Linked DNA regions of Caenorhabditis elegans. The protein of the gene in region 1 purifies or fractionates together with the protein of each later gene. This does not show direct contact. Each region holds a gene or a part of one and is shown on either strand. Other genes may lie near its edges.

Evidence for each region. Proteins that work in one complex are often made in the same cells at the same time.
Region 2: the proteins of sec-6 (region 1) and asp-4 fractionate together in Caenorhabditis elegans (co-fractionation; one large-scale study listed by BioGRID). This does not show direct contact.
Region 3: the proteins of sec-6 (region 1) and sec-3 fractionate together in Caenorhabditis elegans (co-fractionation; one large-scale study listed by BioGRID). This does not show direct contact.

Annotation. Positions count from the first base shown.
Region 1 is NC_003280.10:5,357,793-5,362,579, reverse strand, and holds the start of sec-6 (Exocyst complex component 3), read right to left. Parts: upstream 3,029-4,787; 5' UTR 3,020-3,028; coding exon 2,909-3,019; intron 2,852-2,908; coding exon 2,739-2,851; intron 2,692-2,738; coding exon 2,397-2,691; intron 2,344-2,396; coding exon 2,248-2,343; intron 1,901-2,247; coding exon 1,833-1,900; intron 1,510-1,832; coding exon 1,203-1,509; intron 1,152-1,202; coding exon 906-1,151; intron 365-905; coding exon 272-364; intron 1-271. Other genes in the region: bmy-1 (Boca/MESD chaperone for YWTD beta-propeller-EGF), read right to left, coding at 3,232-3,573, 3,625-3,751, 3,794-3,885; F09E5.11 (Transmembrane protein 199), read left to right, coding at 4,399-4,551, 4,597-4,787. UniProt on the Caenorhabditis elegans protein: Component of the exocyst complex involved in the docking of exocytic vesicles with fusion sites on the plasma membrane.
Region 2 is NC_003284.9:13,218,476-13,223,259, forward strand, and holds asp-4 (Aspartic protease 4), read right to left. Parts: upstream 2,988-4,784; 5' UTR 2,953-2,987; coding exon 2,867-2,952; intron 2,286-2,866; coding exon 2,099-2,285; intron 2,053-2,098; coding exon 1,929-2,052; intron 1,802-1,928; coding exon 1,559-1,801; intron 1,348-1,558; coding exon 804-1,347; intron 751-803; coding exon 600-750; 3' UTR 510-599; downstream 1-509. Other genes in the region: R12H7.4 (G_PROTEIN_RECEP_F2_4 domain-containing protein), read left to right, coding at 1-4, 51-302, 352-456; skr-20 (Skp1-related protein), read right to left, coding at 4,541-4,784. UniProt on the Caenorhabditis elegans protein: Aspartic protease, which is part of the necrosis cell death pathway. Involved in neuronal cell degeneration. Involved in heat stress response.
Region 3 is NC_003284.9:3,094,919-3,101,799, forward strand, and holds sec-3 (Exocyst complex component 1), read right to left. Parts: upstream 4,935-6,881; 5' UTR 4,920-4,934; coding exon 4,790-4,919; intron 4,744-4,789; coding exon 4,616-4,743; intron 4,189-4,615; coding exon 4,090-4,188; intron 4,039-4,089; coding exon 3,661-4,038; intron 3,612-3,660; coding exon 3,439-3,611; intron 3,392-3,438; coding exon 3,220-3,391; intron 3,146-3,219; exon of another isoform or gene 3,010-3,145; intron 2,911-3,009; coding exon 2,664-2,910; intron 2,618-2,663; coding exon 2,263-2,617; intron 2,214-2,262; coding exon 2,087-2,213; intron 2,039-2,086; coding exon 1,777-2,038; intron 1,729-1,776; coding exon 1,604-1,728; intron 1,153-1,603; coding exon 1,054-1,152; intron 1,005-1,053; coding exon 753-1,004; 3' UTR 510-752; downstream 1-509. Other genes in the region: ztf-13 (C2H2-type domain-containing protein), read right to left, coding at 5,563-5,691, 6,163-6,280, 6,327-6,481, 6,533-6,757, 6,822-6,881.

The DNA.
Region 1 (4,787 bases):
CGCTCACATTTGTCTTTTTTTTCGTCTTTCGTGGTGAATTTCGACAAGAGGTGGTGATGATGGTGACGTGAAGCGAACTACGACGCGGAATTACAAATTTTGCGAAATTAGAAAAAAAACCAACTCGGAGAGGGTATGCAAAAGCTGCTAATAATATGTGTGCGTTCTTTTCTCGGGCTTTTTAAATTCCTCGGCATTTTTTTTTGGATTTGAAAGGAAATTTCTTAGTTTCTACTAGCGGAAATTACAAATATTTTGAAAAAAAACTTACCGTGTCCTTGAGCATTCCAAAAACAGTATTTGGCAGATCAGTGTAGAAATATCCATGATTGTCCTCGCTTGGCCGCAAGTTTTTGTACCAATCCTGGAATAAATAATTTTGTAGAAAATTTACTTTTATTACTTTGTACGAAAAATTATATTTTGAATTATAGATTTTATTTTTGAATTCCCGCGCAAATTAATTACCTAGTTTCGACATTTTCGCGTTTTCTAGCTAAATTCATCGAACTTTCTTGACATTTTCATAGATATTTGATTTGCAACATTTTTTGTCAGATTTTCAGACATTTTTCAACAAAGAAAAATTATAAAATTTTTTAATTTTTAATTTCTGAGCCAATTTTAAGTTTTAGTAATTTTCTTACGAGAAATCAAGTTTTCTCTTCGGAAAAATGTCTGAAATTTTTTTTTTGACATTTCGAATCAAATATTAACGAAAAAATCAATGAAAACTGAACATTTCAACAGAAAAAACAAAATGTCGAAACTAAATAGATTTTTTTTTAATTAAAAATTTTAAAGTTTTTTTTTGACTATTACGGTTTTTTTCTATCATTCAGTCTTTTTTTTGTTGATGATTTGAAAATTTCAAGACAGAATTAAAAAAAAAAAATAAAACTTACATGAGTCTCATGAGAAACAGTATTTTTCAGCCATAATTTCAGATCATCTCTCGACATTTCAACAAATTGATCACAAAGTTGATTCAGAGTGCTTCTCGACAGAACAGGACTATCTTGTAATATAGCCTGTGCATTGATCCTCAGTTTCGGATGTCCTAGCATATCTTCAGATGCGTAAAATTTGATCCATGACATCAACTGAACCAGCTCGCTTTTTTCCAAATGTTCCGATGCCACTTCTCGGAGCTAAAAGCAAGGAAATGAGGAAACAATCGATTTTTTCAGTCAAATACTCACTCTTCTACACACAGATGTGTGATACATGTGAACATATCGATCGTAAATCTGCCAATCCGGTGGGAAACACGGAATCGCCACTTTTGCCAATTGTAAATCATCCATAATTACATTTTTACAAACTTCTAAATATCTAGCAAGCCACGCTTTGTTCAGAGATCGATCTTCGAGTTGATTTCCATCTACTCGATTTGAGACAGTCTTCTCAAGTGATCGTAAGGCTTTTTCTTTCCAGTTACGAGGTCGGCCTGGTGGAACAAATGCCGATGAGTTCTTGCTTCGAGCTTCCATGTAGAATTTATCGATTCTTAAATAAATATAACTTTGTTATCACATCCAGGGCTGTCGGTTTTTTGGGAAAAAAAAATATTTTTTGGGACCAAAAAAAACCGAAAAATTACAACACTGATTCAGCAAAACACAAAAAGAAAACAAAAATCCTTCCGTTCGTTCAGGTTCTAACATTTTTGAAAATTTCTCGTTGTGTCCCGTTTAAAATCAAAAGTAGTTTTTTTTTCTTCATAAATTCGATTTTTTGTCTTTTGGTCCAAATTTAAAATAAAATTTTCTTGTTTTGGTAGAATATCTTTTTGCAATAGCCCTGATCACGACAACTCATGAAATTATTACCTTTCTTCTCGTTCCACAATTCGAAGACATGTCACAACTTGTTGCGGTCCGCCACCTTGCTCATTTCCCTGAAAAATAATAGTTCAGGCAGGTTTCCAGGACGAAAATGAATTTTTAAAATGTTTATCCAACTTTAGAATTTTGAATTATTCTGAAATTCACTTTCCTGCAAAATGTCGTAAAACCAGATGTTTTCTCAGAGATTCAAATCTACAGTGACCGCTCGCAATTGTTTTAACTTTATTACAAGGTTTTGGAGGACAAAAAAATTCTTTTTTTTTTTAATTTTTCGGATCAAAATAACAAAAAAAATTCGCTGAAATCGGCGAGAAAATTCGATAATTCTTTTTTTTTTAACTTTTTTATTCAGTTGATATTTAAACCATATCAATATATATTCGAATAAAAAAATTACCTTAACCATTTCCAAAGTTCGACCGAGAATAAACCACATATTCTTCGACAATTCGGCGACAACCGAGTCAACTCCCTTGAAGAAATTGACGAGAAGCTGAAAAATAATATTATAAATATTTGGAAAATACAAAAAAAAAAACAAATAACCATTTGCTCTTTTTCCGTATTTGTTCCACTCATTTTATGAACTTCGGCCAGCAATTCGTCTCGAGCTCTTTCCAAATCCATAATATGTTTGTGAGCTAACAACAGATTTCCTCCAGACTTTTCATCATCCAGCGCATCACGAATTTCTTGAAGTGTTGTTTGTAGATTGAAAATATGCTTCAAATTCTCCATTGCAGCTGCATATTGACCGTGACGAGCATTGGCATCACGAAGTTCTCGAAGTTTCTCTTTCAGTTGGGGAAATGGTCCGAGACGCTCTCGAATATCGTGAACTCTGAAAATCAAAAAAATGTTTCGTTAAAGTGAATTTAAAATAAATACCCTTGAGAAATAGCGGTAATATCATCTGAAGCGGTTTGAAGATGAGCAATTGCAGTTCGAATTCCTTCTAATTGACCTTGAACACCAGTTCGGAGCATAGCCTCGACAGCGAGCTGAAATTTTTTAATTTTTCACACTTCAATAAACTTGGAAGAATTTATTAGTTTTACCTTCTTTCTATCAGCTCTCTTTTTGAGTTCCGGCAATTTTTCCAGTTGATCAGGACGTTGTAGTAGAGCTGCTACTTGCTCCAATGCCGCCTCTTCCACATCAACGTCCATTCTAAAATACTTTAAAAAACGCATTCAATTTTAAATAAAAAATATCAAAACAGTTGGAAACTGTCTGAAAATCTATAGAAATTAATGAATTAGAAAATATAATTTATGAGTGAAATATTATGTAAAAAGTAAGTGAAATGCAAAAAGGCACATGAGAAATTGGGGAACCTCGTAAATAAATATTTGATACAAATGACTAGGATATGTGAATATTATAGCTCTTTCTTGCCAGTTTTGAATTTCTTCGCAGGTCCGTCAAAGCTCTGTCCTTCGATCGTCACTTCGGAAACGAATTCTTGTTTCAAAAGGAATTTCTTTGCTTCGAATGCTTGTTCTCCGTTTTTGAACATGAAGATGGCCCTATTATCGTCAATCACAAAAACTTGCAGATCCACGTGATTATTGTAGAGTTGAGATTGCCATATTTGCGTCCATTTTTCCGTGAACGGGCGAATATCCGAGCGATCTGGTTGCGATGGATCAACAACTCCGACGAAGAGCATCAATGTTTGGCCTTTCTTTGACATCATAAGAAGATCCTCCGGGTCTTTGGCCTGTAATAAATTATTTTATGAAATTTTTTACACAAAAAAAATTCGCCTCACTTTTGCCTTCATACTTTCCAGATCCAATTGTGGCGGTTTTCTTTTGTGTTCTGGCTTCTCATCTTCTTCTAGTTCGTCCTCGTCGTTTTCCTCCCACTCTTCATACAGCTTTTCCAGCTCCGCATCTCTGTAATTAAAAATGAGGCTTTAAAATTGCATATAACCTCACGTGTAACTGGATAGATCCTTCTTTTTTTGTTTAACATTGGCAAGTCCGATATGAGCAGCTAACAGGAAAATGAATACCGTCCTCCACTTCATCTGAAATTATTGTAATAATTAATAAAAGTTGGATATATTATTAGAAAATAAAAGCAAATATTTCGAGTTTAGACAGTGAAGTTGAGTGAAAAGGACCTCGGTAGGAAAGGAGAGCATTGCGAAACATTATTCACACGCTGGGTGGTCCAAAAGGGTGTTCTGCGTCATAAAAGGAAGTCGTGACATCACCCTTGAGGCTGCCCTTCGCGTTTTTCTGCAGATTTCAGAGCAAAAATTGCAAAAAGTTTTTTGGCAGAGCCCTGCTGGCCTAGAAATCGCACCGCTCCCGGCCACTGCAATGGTGCGGCACGGTTATTGGCAACGTGCGCACAGCTTTCATGTAGATTTACGGCGACCAAAAATTAAAATATTCCATTCGATATCATTCGGGAAAAATCTGAATATTGCAACCCCGAAATATATTTCCATACTTTTCAATATATTGCCATATTTTTTGCTTGCGTTATCATTGTTTTCTGCGACAATTTATAAAACATCATTTTTCAGAACCAAATGGCGCAGTGGAACGTGTCACAAGAAGATAAAAATCTCCTACGCGATTTGGTTGCTGGTTCTAAAGAGAAAATAACTCCTGAAGTATCGAAATCATGTAAAGAATTCTACAAAAAAGATGTCGTGAGCTATAAAGATTTGGTGAATATAAAAGTAAGTTTTATTTAAAAATCAACAATTTTATATTGTTCGTTTAAGACGAAACTACCTGACGGTATTCCTGTTTTCGTATTCTTCGATCGGTTAACACTTCGTCGCGAAGATCATACATATCATGCTTCCGTAGAATTTCGTAAGAAAACTGAAGAATTGAGAATTCAGCAAGAACAAGATTCTTACAAGAGACTCATCAGAGATGTGGATCCAGTACAGAAATACGGAAAGACAGA
Region 2 (4,784 bases), on another chromosome or scaffold:
GAATGTAAGCAACTGATTTTTCATGCACAGTCTGTTTTTTTGCTTTTCAGACCTGTCAGAAGTGGGCTGGTTCGGGGTGTTTTGCTAGTTTATACGCTATGTGTCCACCGAAACCTTCAACATATGAAAAAGATAAAGATGATGAAGAAGATGAGAAGATTGAAAATCCTCAGGAAAAAACACCTCTAGAAAATGAAGATGAAAATCCAGAAAAGCAACCTGGAGCTGGCGACTCGAAAGAGCCAGATGAGACATCAGGAAATAGTAGTCCGAAAAAATCAACACAAAGAGGAAAAGGACTGGTGAGTGTTGCTATCAATTTTGATGTGTCTACTATATTTATTTTTCTAGGACCCCACAAAGCACACAGAGTCTCAAAAATTCTACTCATGGCTCACCGATTCGAGCAATAGCGGAAACAGTGGAGACATTTTGTTTCGTCCATCTGTTGCTTAGTGGCGCTAAATGATCGCATTTTTCGATTATGTGCCTTCAATTGTGTTGATAGAAAAATATTTATTAAACATAAAGTGTTTTATAAAGCCAATGAATTAAAAATATTTTAAAAACCTGGATTTGTGAGAAAAATAACGTGTTGATTATTCGTCGTCTTGTTCCATGGATTCCTCACTTTCGTTGTCGAAGACAGAACGGAATGGTCGTGGAGCTGGATCAACTGGACGGCCATCGGCGGTCTTAGCTTGAGCAAATCCGACACGGTTCTGATCAAAATCGAAGACGGAATAGTACCTGATTTTTCATTGGGTTCGTCAATGTTTAATTTGAGAAAAGATATGGCTCACCTTCCAATGAAGACATCTCCAAGAATCCAGAGCTCTCCAACGCGTTCTGGGAGATCGATTCCCATAAATCCAGACAAGCAAATAGTCTTTCCACCCTGTGAAACCTTAAGGACATAGTCTTCTCCCTTAAGACTGAACTCTTGTCCTCCGATCACAAAAGAGACTGGTGGAAGTGTTGGAACCTTGTCGCAGCTGATCATGTACTCTCCCTTGATGAGAGGCTCAGCTCCAATGAAATTTTGGATGGCTTCGATTTGAGCCTTTGGTCCGGCTATGAGAGAAGTACCGGTATCAGCAATTGCTTGGCATCCATTGGAGCATCCAAGAACTCCAGATCCAACAACCTTGTCCATCTTGAATTGCCAGTATCCCTTTCTGGTGACTGGAACATAGGTGATTGGCTCAACATATCTTCTTGAGTCAATTCCTCCAAAAGTGATTTCTCCTCCAATTTCAGAGTCTGGGTTACGGTTGAGCCAAAATGAGAAAAGATTCGATGGGACCTTCTTCTGTTCGAAAAGAGTGTTGAACACTGGTTGAACTCCTGCAATAGAGTATTACAGAAGTGAGAAAACCTAGTAAGTGCTCAGAAAATAAAAGTCATTTTCTGTAATTATTGTACCTTTGATGGCATACAGGATGCAACTTATTATTACTTCACACCAAAATGTTCAATGCACAGCTTTTATAACTAAAACAAAATGCTGAACCCTTCCGATTATCCGGGTGTATCCCAGTCTACTTCAAACTCTTACCGAGAACCGCAATTTCAGGGTAAGCCATTCCGAGGATTCCGTCGAATTTGGCAGCGACAAAGGTGATTCCTGGTTCACTGGTTGCTTCAGCAAATGGCTGATCCTCAGCGCACACTCCTGCGACGCAAACGCTATCCTTTGAAATGAATCCCTTCATGGATCCAGTTCCATATTGAATTGCCATCTTTCTACCATCCTCCTTGTATGTTGACGAGCTCTTTGAGTCGTAACGGTGATGAAGCACTGAAATGAAAAAGTGTTTTATTTGTTTGTCCAAACCATAAAACTGTCAAAAACAAACACGTTTCGGTCAGCATCAGTTCACAAGAAAAAGCATGATATCAGTTTGATTTGGTGATGAAATACTTACTGCATGCAATGTCGTAGAATGGACACTTTTTCGATGGAATCCACAAATTGGAAGACCCAGTATCAAAGATGACTGTGAAGTTTTGAGCTGGAGTTCCGATTGAGATGGTTCCAAAGTATTGAGCCTAAAACTTTGATTAGTTATATGTTTTTTGTTGTTTCAATTCTCACATCCATATAGTTTCTGAGAAGCTCATCAATCTCTCCTTCAACATTCAAAGCTTGGTACTTGTCGAAATGATGATTTCCATTGGTTTTCAAGTACTTCTTATATCCATGACGATGCTTGGCAAAGGTTTCGAATGAACCGGCTTGAAGAAGAGTCTCGCGAAGAGTCGGCTGCTTCTTCAGGGAAACGCTGCAAGCAGAATAAGAACTGAGCAACTGCTGAGTGGGTCACTTGTTTTTGTTCTTGTTGTTCGGATTTTTGAGCAGTGTTGATCAACTCGAATGGGATAAGCAGGAGGGTCTTGTGACCCATCGAGAGAAAAAGTGGCATGATGTGCCTTCTCGAAATCTTAGATTTGTGAGACAAAATAGAAAGAAAAAGTGTTATGATCAAAGTAGAAAGAAGTGTTCCCAACAAAACCCAATGAATTTAAATAATCCTTTCACAGTTAGAAAAATTTTATTAGGTTTTTTTTTTAATGTCAAAATCAGATTTGAAACTACAATAAAAAACAATGGACAACTTTCAGTTCTTTATAGTATCCTGTCTAAATGAGATTCTGACGGGATTATATAATATTGAAACAGATAACAAGGTTACTCATTACCGAGGATTCAAGTATCAATCAATCTTGCACATTATCACACCTATTCAGTTATGTCATAAGTAGGTGTTTGCGTGGCACCTAATATTAAGAAACATGACCAACATTTTCACTATATCGATGATCAAAATGAGGTGTCAACAAACCTCCAACGACCTCTACTTACGTTCTCAATTTCTGTTGCCTCTTGTGAACATGAAGACCTTGAACGAGAAGAAGTGCTCCGAGGAGCAAAAGAATACAGCGGTTCATCCTGACGATGAAACTAACTGAATGCCTCTTCCGATCTCAATTGTGCCTTTTCTTATCTCCCCTTTCTCTTCATGATGACTCCGCCTTGTTTCTTTGCCGGCACAACAGCAGCTGCAAGGTCAACTGTCTCGTTGTTATTCCTCCAGCTGTCATGCATAATTATCGGAAAGTAAATTCTAAACATTCAAAAAATGGCCTGACCGTTGTCAACGTGTCCGTCTGTACCGGTGAGATGACAAGTTTGAATGATAAGGGAATTGTGAAACTTTGTTCTGTTTCGATTTAGGGGAGAGAAAATGGGATAATTTCAAAACTCGGCCAAATCAAGATCCTATCTAATTTTGTCTTCAAGGTTGTTGTAGACAGTAATTGGGACTTTTGACGGAGTTTGAAAGACAGTTAGTCAATCACGCAATGGACTATGAAAAAAATTGCATGGCCACTTTTGAAATAAAACCAAAACGTTTGGAAGACCAAGCAATTTTAATGTTAAACTGTTAAACATAGAAGACACAAAAGCTCTGTAAATTGAGGTTTTTTTGTGGATGGAAAATAGCGTGGATGCTGCCCGTTTTTTCCGTCTGATTTGTGAACAACAGTGTTTGAATGCTAAGGATAATATTGATTTAGGTTCATTCATCTTAAAACAACTATGATTGGGTTATAGCTTTACAAAACAGATTCTACAATTGTTCAAGGGCTCCTATATCAAGTAGTTGCTTAAATTAAGCCTATAAAATATACAAGTTGCGTGGAAAACTTACAGGAGATTTAAAAATTGTTTTTGAAAAACTATATACAATTTTCGTATAACATTGTTGACATTTTTGTTCAATGTTCAATTTTCAGTTTTCATTAAAATTGTTGATGAAATTATCATGTCCTAATGCAATGTCCTAATGCATACATAAAAAATTTTAGATGAAATGGATTAGCATGAAAAAAGCTATACAATAAAAACTATTATTGGAAACAACCGGCACTGGATATATGAATATTATGTATCTTTTAATCACAACTCTCGAAAAAGTTATCCCCCCAAAGTCTGAAGAATTGAGCATAGTGAAACTTTACTTAACTAACAAAATTGAAAAATAATATTCCACAAAAAAGGGCAAATTAAGGCAGATGAAAAAAAAAACTTTAAAAAAAAGCACACTATTAAATTTTCCAGATTTAGTAATCAGAACGCTGCATTCAATTCCGTCATGAAGTTTATAAACGTTTAGTTCTTTTAAAACCTAGTATTTTGCAATAAACACCAGAAATGTACAAGTTCGGCCAAATTGGATGCAAAATCAGAAAAAATCGGAAATAAAAATCCGGTAATTTGGGGGCTCACCTCATATTCTGAAACAACGAGAACTTGATTTACATATGGTTCTTTGATATTTAATTTTAAGCAATTTTTTAATTAGTAGTGACACTTTAGTTGTTTGTTTTGTTTTCCAACTATTCTTTTACATTCTTATAACTTCAATTTTTCATTTATGAGGTTTGTAAAATAATTTATTCACAAATAAACTTGAATCAAAGTGTATAAATATATTCTTTCAAACATCTTCTTCACAATATGTGAAATTAAACATCAATCAGAATCCGTTGTGAATGTCATTGCAGATGTTCCCTCTCCACCATTTGCCAACGCTTCCTCCATTTGTTCTTCATCTGACCTGATTCCATAGATCTTGCGAATTTCTTCCGTGCTTTTTCCTCGAATCAATTCTGCTGCGGCTGCACACCCCATATTCATCAAATCTTCGACTCCAAGCGCATGAGAAGCATTGAGTAGTGCAAAAAGAACTCCCGATTCCACGTTGAAAAACTGCTTG
Region 3 (6,881 bases), on another chromosome or scaffold:
CGTTACCATGTTTAGTGGTTAGATCGGTTTATAATTCTCTTATAAACCTTCACAGTTACCTCTTAAAATGTTAAATTTTGTTCTGAAGTTTTCCAAAATAGATTGCGGCCTATCAATTTTACCTTTAAATCGAGTGATGAAAAAAAATGCGCTGTTAAAACAATTCTTACATGAAATAGTTTTAAATAAGATATAAGTACAGGGTGGTCCATAATTATGGACCACCCTGTATAAATGAGTCAAAAAATGTATATAAGAGTAAAATGTAAAACATAAAGTGAGATATAAACGGAATAACATTATAGAAGTTGTTTTTATTAGATTTAAATCGTGTTACACCCCTTTTTTATTAAAAGTTGCCAAAGTGTGTTCTTCAGAAAACACACCATTTGCATGTCAGATTCTTAAGTTGACCAGTTCAATGCAAACATTCAGTCAAAATTTCTACAAATGTGTAACCAAGAAGTCAGTTCCGTGAAATTTTTGTGAGCATTTGAAAATACGTGAAATAAAAGTCACCAAGCAAGACATTTATTTTTCAAAAAAGCAAGCATTACTACTATTTTCGAATGGGGAACACCCGTAAATTTATATTACAGACATCAGTAATGTAACGAAGTTCACCTATTACAGAATAGATAAATAAATATATTACAAAGCATGGTTCAGTAAGTATTAGAGTTCTGATAAATTAAAACTAAATTTTAAATGAATTAAAACAACAAAATTCAATAAAATTATTCGTCGTAATATTAGTGTTGTTGAGCAATTTCTGAGAAGAACTGAAGTACAGTGTCAGTGGAAACTTCGAGCTCAATCTTCGAGCCTGGGTAACAAGTGAGAATCAGTTTGTTGTATTCCGCAATTTGCTTGACAAATTGCTCTTGCATATCTCTCCATACAACTTGCAAAAGTGATGAATTGGCAACCAGGTTCTTCTCAATTTTCTTGTACAGTTGCTCGAGTCCTTTTTTCACTTCTTTTCCCGGATGTTGTGAAATTACCTGGAAAATTTATGAAATGGCGATTTTGATGATTAACTAGAAATTCAACCTTTTTAAGCTCAATGCGACTGAATTGTTGTTGATACGAGATTTCATCAGGACGAATTCCACGCGTTTCGATAAAGTTGTTGACATTGTCGAAGAACGTCTGAAATTTTTGGAATACATATCGATAGTTTTGGGAGATTTTTGTTTAAAGGTGGAGTACCGAAATTCGAATGAGATGTTTTGAAAATTCCTCAAAAAAAGTTATGGAGGTTCAAAGTCGGAAAAAAGGTTTTGCAGCTAAAATCACAATTTTTACAACTTCTCGGTGTCGCAGCGTCTGGAACTTAATTTTTATTTATTGATCACTCTTTAATAAATTTGTTGGTCTTTTATTGGGCGTATATGCGCTGAATTGTTGGGTCTAAAATAGCAAAGCCTCAAATTTTGGTACTCCAACTTTAAACTATGGTAGAGTGCCTTTTTTTACAAATGTTGTAGAATGACAAGCCAAAATTAGAAAGAAAAAACTAGTTTAAAGCATAATAGTCAAGTTTTTTTTCAAGCATTGGCAGCACAGTATTGAAACATAAATTTCCATATTTATATATCACCTGAATCTCTTTGAGTGGACGACCCATAAACTCTTTTACGTACGCATCAATATGTTCTTCCTTGAGCGCTTTCGCATCTTTTCGTTGTTGATCCAAACATGAGATTTTTAGCTCCGACAAAGTCACTGAAACATTTATCACCATCACACTTTATTGTTTCCTAGAACACTTACAATAGAGCTCGTGGTAATTTTCAAACTTGACTACAGACGACGGAGACTTGCTGTATTGATTGGCGGCAGCTTTTTGTATCCCGTCACAAACCGCCCGGCAAAGATTGAAATATGCCTTCTCCAAGTCAGTTCTTCTCTCGGCATTTTCAAAGATAATTTCAGCACGTCTCACAAAGTTTGCAAAGCGAAAAATTGATGGGAGAATTCCGATTCTAGTCTTTTTAGCAATGCGAACTTCCGAGTACTGGGAACATTCCATTTGCTGGAAGAGAAGATTATTGCAATTACAGTACATATAAATGGAACTCACAATAAATGCATCAAACTGGCGTTTTATCAGAACAACTAAACTTCCAAATGTGATCGAAAAATAGGAGCTTGGGTCTTGTGGTAGAAGCACTTTCTTCGACATGATTACAAACAAAAGGAGAACATTGCTAAAATGTGTAGGAATTTAAAATAATATGTACGTGTACCTTTTCTCACCTAGGATTGTGCCTACAAACCGCCCGACAGAAACTATCAAGATGAATATTGAGCGAGTCAAACAAGTTGCCCATAACGTGTCTCACTTGCTCGTTCATATGTTTCTCCATACTACGTCCTCCGAGACTTGAGCTATCACCGCTTCCAGTTGAAGTCGTATCGAACTGAGCCAACAGCTCCGAGTTGATGTGGAAGAAGCGGACAACGAACTTTTGCTCTGCGTCAATCACAGCGCTCAGTTCTGCCAGCACCGTTTCGATGAGTTGCGGTAAGACTTCAGTATCAATTTCACTGGAGGTGCTCAGGAAACTCTGGTTGTCAGAACGAAGTGAAATGTTTGCAGATTCATTTGCTTCTGAAATCAGATGATTATTTTTTGCTGCAAATATTAGCAAACATACTTGACTTCTTTTCAGAACTGTTAGCTTTTGGAACTTTGTTGATCAGTGTCTCAAAGAAATTGTCAAATAGACGTTTGTAAAGTAGATTCGTGCTGTCGATATACTTTTGCAAGACTAAATTGCAAGCCTTTGGACGGTTCGTTTTCAGCCAGTTGATAAGATCAGAGAGTGGAGAAAGGGCGCGAAAGCGTTGAGACTGTTTTGGAATACACAGTTCATGCCACTCATGATCCAAAGATAAGTCGTTCTGAAAAAAAAACACGCGTTGAAAATGATTTTATACAGTGCGCGCGCTTGCTACAGGATTCTTCTAAAATTTATAATAGATGTATTGAAAAAACTCCACATTTTAACGTGAATCTATTGTGAAATTATGGTATGTGATGTAAAAAAAGCTTCGCATGCGCTGTAAAATATCTGAAATTCGAGAATTTTGGTTGAAATTTTCAAAAAATTCAGAGGGTCCTTTAGCGAGAGCGTGACCTCCGGAATTCTCTAATACTTCTACAATTTAGGGGGTCCTCGAGCAAGCAAGCACACGTTCATTGAAACTTACCAAATTCGAGAACAGTGCAGAGAGGTGAGACATGAGCCTATCGACAAAGACATCCACTGCGGTAAGCTCATCATTTCTGTCCTGATAGGCTTTCATTTGAAGCATTGGCTTAGAAATCCTCCCGTGCCAGAATTGTGCAACAGCGCGTGCAGCGTCCGTGCATCTTTGAACACTGAAGTATCATAATATTACTTGAAAACTCTAAGTTGTTCACTCTACCTTTCTGGGTTACTGAAGTTAGCTTGTTTCAGAGTCTCAATGTGGGAATCAGTAACAGCCTGCAACGAATTGACAAATGAAACGATTTCCTCGTTGAGACGTTGCTTGTTCTTTCTTTCAACCACCGATAAACTATCTTTCTCTTCGATCAATTCGATACTGTTCCTCACAAACTGAAAATAGTTGATTAAAATTTCAATAAATTCCTTTACAATGTAGTACCGCCAAAATGTCATCACAACGATCAAGCTCTTTTTCGACCGACTCAACACCGGTCAATGCTGCATCAATACTCGAAAGCAACTGGTTTACGGAATTCTCACTGTCCATCATAGAGTTGATGTTGGCTCCATCGAGAGATTGCAATTGCTCCGTCAGCATTTCGGCAAAAATATGTGCTTCACCAATAGTCAAATTAGCTCGCGCAATCAACTTTCGAAAGTCTGCGTCCTCCTTGTTGGATATTGGCTGATAATCACTTTGCATCGCCATATCATGCTCAGGAAGCTCAATGGGTATAATGGAGGTTTCTGATTCAAGTTGCGGTAGAGAGAAATTGCAGAAATCTGGCATCTGGACTGGAAGGTATTGGCATGACAACTAAAATACGAAATTTTCAGTAAAAAAGTTGAAAGTATTATAGTTGGATACCTTGTAGAGTTCTCGAATGAACTCGTCCTTTTCCTCAGCGGAACCAGCCAAAATCACATATTGATGATCACCGATAGTGATGTGGAACTCTGGTGATGCCTGAATTTTTTTAATGTTTGTCAGTTGAATAAAATTCTCAATTTTTTTTAAACCCAAAAAAACTTGAAGTAAATGCGAATTTAACTAATTGATAAGCCATTTTGTCAAAATAATTCCTGCAATTTGCATCATCTTTTCGACAAATTTAGTGTACAATAACTATTCTTTCAACAACTTCTCACCTAACTTTAGCTAATTGCAATTTTTACAATTGATAAAGATCGTTGAAAAGTTGCGGCAAAATGGCGAATTTTTAGCTATTTTAGGTTGATAAACTCCATCAAACATTAGTGTTCGTAAAACTTGAAAATCCTCAGTTATTCGAGAAGCTTCACATTTTTTGCGTTATGTTCTTCGTTACGCTCACATTTGCTCACTACATATATCGTATAAATTGCGTGAATCCATATAATTTTCAAATACTCACTTTTTTCGGATTTATTCCGTCGATTTCTCTGACTTCTCTCAAATTGAACCTGTCCTTCTTTTTGAATGTATCATCTTTCTCCCCTTTCACAAAGTATAAACGGACGGCGATGGGGTGCTCGATTGTGACTGCAAGTTATCGATTTTTATACAGGACAATTCCAAGAATTCTTACCTGCTAAACATAGTAGTGTCTGGTTTTTCTTCTTTTTTCCATCCAACTTTGAGACATTGACTATTGCTTGAATTCTTTCATCGTCTTTCTGGAAAAGTTGCCGCTGGATTATCTTCCTGATTGCAGACATTCAAATCTGAAATTGAAAATTTATATAATCACATTGATTAAGTAGAATAATAAAAATTTTAAACTTAAACCAAGCATTAAAAAAGAAAACAATAAAATCAGGGAATTGGAAACAGTTATGCCCAGTAAAAACATACGGAGTTATTCTGCGTCTCTGCAGTTTTCTGTGGTGACTAGTACACGAAAAACACGCCAGTGGCCGGTTAGCGTGCGCGTTTCTCGATGAACACCACTATTTATATTGCAATGCAGGGAAGCAAAAATAATTTTATTTGGTTTTATTTTTACACTTGCAAAAGATATAGTAATAGAATTGAAACGAATTGATTGACCTGAAAAGATTTATTTTTGGCAATTATTTAAATAGAACACGATTCCTAAAACGGACCGTAAAAAAATGACAATTGAAAGTTTTCAATTAGGAGAATCTGCAAAAGTAAAAAAGAAAGAAACAATAAATAATATTACACGGATCAGAAAAAAAACAACAGAGAGTTTGAAAAGGTCGTGGTTTTGATTTGGAAGTGACTTGAGGCATAAGTTAAAAGTAGAAAAAAAGTAACAGAAAACTTAAGTGAGACAAAAGAAAATGATTAATGACATGTAGCTATATTAAATCGGGGGTAAGTTTCAAAATGAGATTATCACTGAACAGCGTTTCTGACTGGATACATGGTGTAGTTGGTAGTAATCAAAGTGCGACGCAGCGGAAGTGGGCCTGCAGGTGGAAGTGTGTAGTTGCGGTTACGAATTGAAGTCGGGATTTTGATGATCTGATTTATTTATTAGTTTTTACAGTAAATTGTATTATCGCCCCTTTAAATTTTTTTTTATAAAACAAATGTGGACATATGTATATTTCAATACATTTTGTTACATTTCGCGACATTACTTGATTAGCCCCATTAGTAATTATTGTATTCTAAAGAAAAAACACACAAAATATGCTGGACAATCCGAATTTGGAAGTATTTTAAATCTTGGTAACTACTGAAACTTGTCCTATTAGACCTGCTAGCTTATATCTCGGTTGTCTTAAATTGTACCAAAAATAGTACAATGTCAATATGTTGAAAATTATTTTACGTAATTACGCAGTTAAAATGTTTTGATAAAATTAAAGAAAATCGAGATATTAGCTGTCAGCGTGAAGCAATCGGTGAGCAAGTCTAATAGTGATAATACAATATGTAGTAGTACCTTCTGACATGACAAGTAACTTAATGCATTTATCAAAATCTTACCGCTCGACCCTTTGAGTACGGAGCAGATCGCACAGTGTACTGCGGCTGACTTGCCGCCATTTTAGAGACGACTTCTCCAAGACTTTTTCCAGGTGGAACCGGTCGAGACGATTTTTTGCTAAAACGAAAAATATTGTTAAAAACCTAAATTTGGTAGTTCTTACAATTTGACTTGGGGCGGCATTGTGCTGAAAGTCAGTGTCTTAAAAACGGTCGCCGAGGGGACGTAGCTTTCCGAAGGCGAACGTTTTATGAATTTCCCGTAAATAAATGTATTTTTCATGCTCGACACAAAATCATCGTGATCTGCAGACTCCAGCTGAAAAAATAGTTCTGCTTTAAAAACTGCAAATTTAGAACTCTATCTAACCGTTGCCAATAAGTCGCTTTTAGCCTGATTGTAAACCACTAAGCCAATGCTACCCGACATAACTGCCTGCAGTTCACACTTTGCGTACGTGTAATATGCGGTTGTCATCACTGTTTGTTTGTCTCTGGTGAACAAGAATTCCTTTACAAAATCACTGGAACGGCGTGTGATGGCTTGCATCAGAAACGGGCCAGATGGTATTCGAGCATTTTGCATTGACTCACACTGCAAAAAAAAATGTATTTTAAGCGACCAATGTGTACGTTTTTTTTCTTTTTTTTTCTCTCACCACCGGCATCTCTCCACACCCGTGAGTCAGCATTGTGTGGTCACTGGCTTGTTGTAGAGT